Linked DNA regions of Saccharomyces cerevisiae S288C. The gene in region 2 interacts genetically with the main gene of each other region. Each region holds a gene or a part of one and is shown on either strand. Other genes may lie near its edges.

The links.
Region 1: of CWP2 (region 2) and TAO3, a mutation in one rescues a mutant of the other (synthetic rescue), as found in Saccharomyces cerevisiae (one study listed by BioGRID).

The regions. Positions count from the first base shown.
Region 1 is NC_001141.2:107,074-115,144, forward strand, and holds the start of TAO3 (Tao3p), read right to left. Parts: upstream 6,165-8,071; coding exon 1-6,164. Other genes in the region: MET18 (Met18p), read left to right, coding at 6,733-8,071. UniProt on the Saccharomyces cerevisiae protein: Seems to play a role in cell morphogenesis.
Region 2 is NC_001143.9:257,617-260,324, forward strand, and holds CWP2 (Cwp2p), read left to right. Parts: upstream 1-1,636; coding exon 1,637-1,915; downstream 1,916-2,708. Other genes in the region: MTC2 (Mtc2p), read left to right, coding at 1-227; YKL097C (uncharacterized protein), read right to left, coding at 887-1,297; YKL096C-B (uncharacterized protein), read right to left, coding at 1,457-1,606. UniProt on the Saccharomyces cerevisiae protein: Component of the cell wall.

The DNA.
Region 1 (8,071 bases), on a different chromosome or scaffold from region 2:
AACTTGTTCTTTGCTAGAGAATCTATCAAACGGGAAAGAGAAGGTTGTTTGTACGCATTTGCAAGTTCAATTAACGAATCTGCAGCAACCTGAATGCCCGTAAAATCTTTGCGATCCATTGCATTCAAAAATCTCGGAAGGTTTGCTATTAATGCGAAAAGCAGCCTAGACTCTGTATTTGCTATAATTCGGCTATCTTTCAACAAATTTAACTTATCCAAAAATTTCCACGTAATCTCTAAGGAATTCGCTGATCGCAATCCAGTCATAACTATTTGTTGCAAGCCATCAAAGCGACCTTCCCAATTGGAAGGAAAGATCGCAACCAAACACTGTACGGTATCAGGAGAATCCAAATCGATCTTGGAAATGAATTTACTTAAACATGACAGCACTTCAATGAATTCTTGTTCGTGAATGCTGCTCAAACATGCTGTAATGGACCAAAATAACTGCGGGAAACTGATCAAATTCGTCGGATCAAGTTCGGCCATGATTGCATTCAAAGTCATCAAGATCTGCATGGCAAATCCTTGTATATCGACATTTCCATCCGATATAGTGTTCGAAAGTCTATGAAGCATATCACGCAACATTTCCTGATCTAAAAATGTCAATAATGATCTAAATATTTGAAATGACCTGCACGCTATGTGCCTAACTGAGCAAGTGGTAGCCCACTTCAAGGCAATTCTTTGCCAAGTTACTTGAAATTCATCTAAGTCCGAGAATATAGAGATTATGTTCCTAATTAATAGGTCCATAGTTTTTGGTGATCTTGCACCTTTTTTCATCAAGTTATCATATGACCATAAGGCATGCTTATTTCTTAGTAGTTTCACGGTTTCCTCAGACTTTTCGTGACTTGGTGCCAATCCAAATATTAATGTAGATGCAATTTTACACGCGCTTTCGTGAATAAGCGGCACATAATGGTCAAGCAAGCAAATGGACATATGTAGTAGAAGAGGAATTTTCGCCTTTACAGATTCACTCAAGTTCGTTAACAAATTGACTAAAAAGATAATCGAAAGCTGCGCCTTCGAAAAAATGATTCTTTTCCCATTGTAATTTAGTCGTTCCCAGATATTCCCTAAAAAGGAATACTTATTATTATTCATTGGCTCATTAAACGTATGTTTCGCTAAAGGAACCATGTATTTCGGTTCTAAATTATTCAATAGAGTGTCAAGTAGTCCAATGCCACCAGGAATATTTGCCAAATACAATACAATATCTCTAGCATACTGAACAAACAATGGATTGCAGTGATTCATTGAAGAATTTATGATGTACTCCAGCGATACGTGTATATTTTGGAAAGAATTACCCTTGCCAAGAGAAATCCATAGCTGCTCTACTTCGTTCGGTAAAGAGTCGTTAAGATCAATAGTGATGTAAAATAGGTTATTCAATACCATAAACGTGTCCAACTCTTCTAAAGATTTCAATGTAAATTTGTTTACCCAAGGTACCATAAGCACCAACAAATCTCTTTTTATTTCGAAAGGAAACAAATCAAGTATTCTAACCAAACTGGAAAATATTCTCAAACACAAATCCTGAGAGAGCAGTTCGGCAAATATGCTAGAAATTTCTTTTGCAGTTGATTTGTAAACCGTCTTTGAAGAATTTGCAAGTCTCTCCTTAAATACCTTGGTATAAGAAGAATTATGTAATTTCGTTTCAACAGCTGAAAGTAGATCAACAGCAAATGTCCTTGTATCTTCCTTATCTGCCACTAAACCATACAAACCCAAGGAGACTAATTCATCTTCATCTAAAACCAAATTATCCAATTTCAAAACGGATTTACAAAGTGTAGTGTAATATAAAACAGCTACCGAAGGATGTGAGTGGTGTGAAACACATTGGAAAGCAACATCTCTAAATAGTTTAAAATTTTCCCTATTTTTGTCCAGGAGATTCTCCAAAGCACGCACACCAAGATTTTTTACAGTAGTATTGTCCGAGTCAAATAGTGCTTCAATCCAAGCAAGTAAATCTTCAGTATCGAATGAAATCACAATAGGCAACTCTAAATCATCGTCCAATGTTTGGGTTATTGGATCTGAACATAAAACAACCATAGTCTCTAGCACGATCATCTGCAATCTGTTTTTTTGGAATTCTATTCCAGTTGTAATAGCGGTTCTATCTCTGCCACTCTCTGTATTTTTTATCATTATGGCATATCTTTCTTCAGATATTGGCTCGTACTCACCATAACCACACCATTCCTTCAAGAAATTGAAACATGATGCGCGTGCTTGGAAGGGAAATAATTCATCTATTAGCGGATGCTCTCTTACTGCCATATAGTAGCTCAATATAAGACCTGCAAAGTAGCTTCGCAGCGATTGATATTCGTAGGAGATTTGCACAGAATCCTTCTCGAGGAACTGTTTTGTCTTCTGCAAAAACTCTGATAATTTCCGAAGTATCCATTCGTCATTAAATATCATATCCGATTTTAAGTACGGCGATAAAATCGTCAAAATATGAAACATCTCCACTCTGATTTGGTTGTTGGAGCTCCCTTCTTTCCATGCCACTAAAAATACATCAATTGCCTCCACATATGCTTTAAAAATGTTGATATTCATTGAGCTTAGCCCCGTTATTATAGCATCCCTAATCATAATATACTTTGCATTTAATAAGGGAAGAACCATCTTGAAGATTGATTTCGCAGATTTGATTTTTTGGTGCTGAACAGTAAAGATTTGTTGACTTTTTTTCCTGCCATGCTGAGGAATATTGGACGGAATATGCAGTTTTTGGTCAAACGTGGAAGTTAATGAAGTACATGCGGCAATCAAATATAGCTTCCATTGGTTTACTATTGTTTCCGGTAAAACATTTTTGAGTTTGAAATCAACATCATTTGCTACCCGCAGAATTATTTCGTGTACTTGCACAAGTCTTATACAAACGATAGATCGACACAATGCCATCGCCATAGGACAAGTTTTGAAAACCAACGCCAGTAATTTAGGAAAAGCCCTTTGCCATAGTGCAGCATCTACTCCGTACTCTGATTCGGCCAGTTTGATAAGTAGACCTCTTTTATATTTAGAATTCAGTCGACTGAATCTCGTTTTTTCAACCGCACTTAATGTTGCTTTATGTGGATTAATTAAGGTAGTGGTATTACACTCATTTAATAAATCAATAAGTCTTGTTCCGCGATCAGCTGCAAAATGGGATGATGATCTAGAATGCCCGTTTGACAATTTCTCTGTTTTCTCCATCATCGCTTCGTCAAACTTGAAAATAATTCTCAATATCTGGATGCCCAATCTACGAATTTTTGCATCGTGTGAACAAAGAAAAAATAAGCCATTCCCTTCTACTTCTTCAATAACTGTAACTGTATTTTTCCACTCCAGTTTTTCGGTTTCGTTACTCTCCTCTTGTTCTGCATCGATCGGCAACAAGCGAATTCCATCCAAACCAGTTTCTTTTTTATTTTCCTCTTTATTGGACGATTGGAATTCTTCTAACCAGCATTCCAAAAGCTCAACATAAAGTATCAATAATCTGTTGTACTCCTTTGATGACAAGTACGACATGTTATAACTTGATTGTGTCTTTTCATCGAAATCAAATGAATATTTAGCAAACCATGTGATTAGGGTGTATGGATTCTTCTTAGATGCTAATGCTCTTAGTGCATTTTGACTGCTAGAAGAAATAATTACCTCCGAATGAACAGCGTTCCTTGATAAAATCTCAATTGTAGATTTATATGGGATAGTGCGTGAAATAGAAAGGCAACATGGTATAGCTTCAATGATGGTGCCGAACAATATAACATAAAGCGACTTATTTTTACTTGAGTCATTGTCATTAGAAAAGCTAAAGCCAAATGGGCTGAATGCGTTTGATGATTGCTTTTGGTGCTGATTTTCAGGAGACCAAACTTCAGAACCGATGCTAGAATCCAATAAAAGGAATAATTTATAAAAGTAATCTGATATTTCTGTATGGTTTATGGAAGAGGCTTCTTGAACCTGATTCACTGTAATATTGTTTAAATTTAGTTCATAAAGCCTGTTATCATCCTCAGGAAACCTTGGCCTCTCTTTTGTAACCAGCAATCCTTTGTATGTATTTATAGTCAAAATCAGTTTTTCGTAATTGATATTTTCCAGGTTAGAGCCATTGAAAGATTGCCGTATCAATGGAATTAAAGCTTGTTCCATTAAAAAATTCGGATGTAAAAATCCAATTGATATTAACGCGTCTGTCAATGGGTTCAAGAGACCAAAATCGCCGGTTATCCAATTCTCTTTTTTCCTTGTGTTTAGATATAGTTGTAAAAGCTTGGTAAGCGTCCTTGTAGTATTATTTAAAGTTTCTGGGCATCTATATAAATAGACCCAAACTAATCTGGATAAACCAACTGCAAAGATAATCCTTTCATTCAGACTTTTGGACTTAACTTTTGAGGCATTTGCCTCCAACAACGATAGCCATTGTTTAGAAAATAGGTCTGGTGGTGATGCACACAAAATAGAAACTGTTAATTTGAAACCACTTACCCAATACTTACTATCAGCTTGTAGCCTCTTGGCAGTGTTCAGTAAAGTAGACATTGCCTCTACCCACGTTGGATGATTAACTTCTGCCGTCAACGAGCCAGCCAAAGGCAACAATAGCTGGTTAGTGACTTCAGCATACGCCAAACAAACCGGAAAATTTTCAGTCTTTGCGAAGAACTTTGATAAACTTTTCATGAAATCTGCACTTTCTTCAAATTTCTCCAACGGATAATTTCTTAACTTCAAATATCTCATACCAAGAATCAACAAATGAGTACTTGGCTCTAACTCGGGAGGTATATACGCCGGGATTTTTTCTAGATCAGCTATAAATCGATCACTAACTGACAAAAATTTCTTTTCAGACATAGAGCCCAGTAGTTCGGCAAAAGAATTCCAATTCGAAGACTTAATTAAACTAGTTGATATAGAAAGTGGATCAGTAGTTTTTAACTGAGTAAAAACAATCTCTTCTAGCTTATCAGATAAATCTTCTTCTTCATTGCTGGAAGCCTGCTTAACAATTTCATTTAGCACCCTGCATAGGATGTATATACTAATCAGAGATTTCCTATCTGCAAGGAATGCTTCTTCTTTTGCTACTTCAATTGTGTTCTCTAAACTTTTCAATTGTGAGTTCGCTATGGATGGACTTGAAGTAGCGCTATTGTTACTGCTACTAGCTTTGATTAACGGAACTTTGTTGTTGAAAGATGAGGAAACGTGCCTTTTCATGCCAGGAAGATTATTGGTATTGTTATTATGTTTGTACTTTGAGGTTGTATTACTGGAAGATCTTGATAGCCGCCTATTCATTAAAAAATGAGCCTGCGAGGGATGTGCCTTTTCAAACTCATACTCTTTTAATAGTTTTTCCATTTCTTCTGAAGCAGAGTTGGCCGCTTCAGATTTAGTCTTCCTCCAAAACATCATTGCATCAATCACAGGTTTCGGTTTTTTCTTTGCAATGTGACCTAGAGATTTAATAATTTCATCAAAGCTGGGATCAACGCCTTCACCAAGAATTTCTACAATTGGGGGTTCCGCCATGTCCAACTGCTGTAGACACATATTTAGTTTGTTCTCCGCGTAACGAATAAACTTTGTAAAAAGTATATGAAGAGCATATTCAGAGGGACTTTTCCAATCTGTAGCCATTTGCTGTCTCAAAGTAGTCACGTAGTCCTCTGCTACTGATTTTGCTGTAATGTCCGGCGGTGCTGATTCTTGCATTCTTTGCTGCTTTTGTTCAGGTAGTAGCATTGAAATCTTGTTTTGATCACTTTGCTCCTCAACAAAGGTAGGCGGAAGAGCTTGACCTTCCCCCGTTCCTTGTTGCTGTTGTTGCCGTAAAAGTAATTGATTATTTAGAGAGGTGCCTTCAGACATATCAGTAGGAGATGGAATATCAATAATAGGTGCATCCGTAACGGATTGGTGAAGAGGAAATGTGTTAAGTGGCGCTTCGTTTATTTCCTCCAAGACATCCTGGCCTGAAGGATCAATATCTATTGATATCTGGTTATTGTTGCTAGAACCTTCTGCTTTATTTGTCGGTGGGAAGGTGAAACCAATGCCTTGATCCCTCTGGGGCGGGAAAGTAAATCTCGAGGCCATTTTGATGTATAACAAAACTAAAAAGGGTTATTAAAATGGGAACACAACAAACAACCAGAATTTTCACACTTTAACCAGTCACGTCCTATTATGAAGACCTAAATCCACATTTGCTTTCTCTCTTCATTTGCCTAATCCTTTATCCCAATTTCTACAGTTCTATATGTATTTTCCTGTGTGGCTGTCGTTTCGTGGTTAGTGATACAACCATAACGATTCAACCAACTCCCAATGTATGTGATGTTGATACCGCTAATTTGGAAGGGATGGTATACTCTAGGTGACCTCAATGAGTCAAAGAGAGCTAGGACATACTTCGAGATAGGTAATACCACTTTGCAGCTTCTTTTTAGGCCTTCATGAGTGAGTAGCCAAGAAAAAGTTAAAAGCGGGTAATAGGTATGAATTTTTCAAATACTGAAATTTGGTTTAGTTATTTAAGTGAATTGTAGATTATGTACATTTTACGTGCAATGAAGGAGTCACCTCTATGATCATCTAGTTATTAGCTGTTAGTTTTCATTGAACTTGTTTTAACTGGGAAAAAGCGGAACAATTGGGCCTTACAATGACACCAGACGAACTAAATTCAGCAGTCGTCACCTTTATGGCCAATCTGAATATTGATGATTCGAAGGCCAACGAAACCGCTTCCACAGTAACGGATTCTATTGTACACCGATCAATAAAATTGCTGGAAGTTGTCGTTGCGTTGAAAGATTATTTTCTTTCAGAAAATGAGGTAGAAAGGAAGAAAGCGTTGACATGTTTAACCACTATCTTAGCAAAAACTCCCAAGGACCACCTCTCCAAAAACGAATGCTCAGTAATATTTCAGTTTTACCAGTCTAAGCTTGATGATCAAGCGCTTGCAAAAGAAGTCTTGGAGGGCTTCGCCGCATTAGCTCCAATGAAATATGTCTCCATTAACGAGATAGCCCAACTTTTGAGATTATTATTGGACAACTATCAACAAGGCCAGCATTTGGCATCAACTAGACTGTGGCCATTTAAAATTTTGAGAAAAATATTTGATAGATTTTTCGTCAATGGATCCTCGACCGAACAAGTCAAACGAATCAACGATTTGTTTATTGAAACATTTCTTCATGTTGCCAATGGTGAAAAAGACCCTAGAAATTTACTCTTGTCATTTGCACTTAATAAATCTATCACATCGTCCTTGCAAAACGTGGAGAATTTTAAAGAAGACTTATTTGATGTCTTATTTTGCTATTTCCCAATCACTTTCAAGCCACCAAAGCATGATCCTTACAAGATCTCCAACCAAGATTTAAAAACAGCTTTGCGATCAGCAATTACTGCGACGCCATTATTTGCCGAAGATGCTTATAGCAATTTGCTGGACAAACTCACTGCTTCTTCACCGGTAGTGAAAAATGATACACTTCTGACGCTATTAGAATGCGTTAGAAAATTCGGCGGCTCTTCTATATTGGAAAATTGGACGTTACTTTGGAACGCTTTGAAATTTGAAATTATGCAAAACAGCGAAGGAAATGAAAACACTCTACTAAATCCGTACAATAAAGACCAACAGAGTGATGATGTGGGCCAATATACTAACTACGATGCTTGCTTGAAAATTATTAATCTAATGGCATTGCAACTATACAATTTTGACAAAGTATCATTTGAAAAGTTCTTCACTCATGTATTAGATGAGTTGAAACCAAATTTTAAATATGAAAAGGATTTGAAGCAAACCTGCCAGATTTTGTCCGCTATAGGTAGTGGGAATGTCGAGATATTTAACAAGGTCATTTCGTCAACTTTCCCCTTATTTTTGATCAATACATCTGAAGTTGCCAAACTTAAGCTGCTGATTATGAATTTTTCTTTTTTTGTTGACTCGTACATTGATTTGTTTGGAAGAACATCTAAAG
Region 2 (2,708 bases):
ATGTCAAAGAGGCGTCCAGGTGGTACTTCCCCATGCACTTGGAATTGGTTCAGCGTTCCTCCATGGATAGTTCCTTATTGTACGGTAGCGACCCCAACTTGGTGGACGAAATGCTAGAGAAACTTGCGAAGATTAAGTGTGAGGAGGTTAATGAGTTTGAGAATCCCCTTTTCCTGGAATCTCTCGTAGTGAAAAACGTACTAAGTAAAGTCGTGCCGCCCGTGTAAGTTTATTATGTATTTCGAGCATGCATCTGGAACCTATGTTTACATACGTACAAACGGTATTTAAAAGTTTCTATTCTTAGCGTCAATTGCCCTTTATCGTTTTGTTAACCAATTGTTGTTTTTATTCATTATGCCATGACCCGAAAAATGAGCAAAATCGGTCAAAGTAAATAGCTAAATATTTGGTCTAAAAAGTAAGAGAGAAATGAAAATGGCAAGGCTTAACTACTTTGCAATAGTGTATATAGACATTACCAATTGAGTCCAGCAACGAAAGATTCCGCTTGCACTTGGTCAATCATTTACTGACCATAATACGAAGTAATAGAGATGCTACTAAAAGATGACCATGCGATTACAATTTACAATAGACAATTAAGCGCAAGGACAATCAGTATGCATTCCATTTCTAATAGACAAGGTGCTATGAGTGAATTGCTAGCCTCCCCTTTTTATTTTGTGCGGTCACCGCAAGGGACAAAGCTTTTCTTAGAAAACCGTCTGAGAAGCATAACGTACGCCATCCCCTAGACATATTAATAATGCTACAGATACTATGCTGCTCGTCTTTTTTTGACGACCCTTTTATTGCAATGTGCAACTAATGGCAAACAACCACATAGTATCACAGTATTACATTGCCTCCACCGATGCGGATGTTAGGGCGCCAAGTCTGTCATGAAGCATGTTCCTGTCATAATCTTGTATGCAAAATACCGCGTTCTGCGCCACTGATATGCTAGGCAGCAGCAACCTATGCAGAAGATTGCTTTTCCCACGCCTGTTTTACGTCTCCAGGGCACTTGAAACAATGCAGCGATCGCCGCCACAACACGCCAAAGAGAAGCGAAAGTGGGCCTGGGCGGCCTCAGTTTCGGCAGAGGTAAACAACACGAACTGAACTGCCTTAGCTCCGAAGGGCAATTCCACAGGCACTCCGCGGGGCCCGGCCAAGGCCCAAAAGGCGTGGAATATGCGCGTTTTGGGGCCATAACACCCAGTACCACGGCCGGAACGGGCCATATAATAAGTTTTTCACTCTCAAGAATGGTAAACGTAAATAGGAACATCCCACTACCCTAGAAATTGCGGAAATTTCGCGCTTATCATTAGAAAATCTGGAACCGTCCTTTTTCCTCTTTCTTGCATTTCCCTTTCCGTATTATTGCCATTCTTTAACTGCATTTGGGGAACCGTAGACCAAAAGCCAAACAGAGAAATGTAACGTTCTAAAAAAAAAACAACGAAAAAATTGAAAAATAAGATACAATAATCGTATATAAATCAGGCTTCTTGTTCATCATTTTCAATTCTCTTCTTGCCATCCCTTTTCCTATCTTTGTTCTTTTCTTCTCATAATCAAGAATAAATAACTTCATCACATTCGCTACACACTAACAAGAAAAAAAATGCAATTCTCTACTGTCGCTTCCGTTGCTTTCGTCGCTTTGGCTAACTTTGTTGCCGCTGAATCCGCTGCCGCCATTTCTCAAATCACTGACGGTCAAATCCAAGCTACTACCACTGCTACCACCGAAGCTACCACCACTGCTGCCCCATCTTCCACCGTTGAAACTGTTTCTCCATCCAGCACCGAAACTATCTCTCAACAAACTGAAAATGGTGCTGCTAAGGCCGCTGTCGGTATGGGTGCCGGTGCTCTAGCTGCTGCTGCTATGTTGTTATAAGAAATCTCTGATTTTTTATAATATCTATATGGCTTTTTTCAAAATTTTCGGTTTTACTAGGTAAGTGTTTGATTCTTTTCTTTTCGTTAATATATTTTTACACATAATTTTAAATAATTTTTGTTATTTTGAATAGGTAGATACCATAAAAATAAAACACTTTTTACTTTAACGATGTTCCTGTGATTTCTCTTCGAATGAGTCAAAAATTTGAACTCGAAATGAATGTATTAGAGACTGGGTTTCTTCGAGTTTGCTGAGATCTTGGCTATGCACAATGTTTCCTGCGCCCCTAAGGTGAAAAAAACATGCATGCTTGTTTCAACAGACCAGTGTGCATAAAGAATTTCGCCCTTAGCTGCGATTAAAGAGTCAAGGCGTGAAAAACATAGGCGAAAGTGCTGACCGTTCTTCCCTTTATCTTTTTACCATCTTCGTTATCTGTTACCTGTTCAAAAGAAAGTGGGAAAGATATTGGTGTGCTACGGTGGGATCTTTTTTTTCTGCCATTTTCTATACTTTACTTCCACTTATAAAATATTTTACAAATTCAAGGGAGACGTGTGACAAAATAATAATCTAGAACTCAATGAACTTTTGTCCTCACTACAATTGCCCCTCGGATGGATTTGAACTTACAAGAAATATCACGTTGGCGCGCGCTAAAGTCGCTTGCCAATGCGCTATGAAATTTTCATGACCTGGCACATTTTAGCACAGTGCCATTAATCCCTTTATTATGGGCATTGATGCGACTTTAAAACTGTACCTTCCTTCGCACATGCTGAATTTT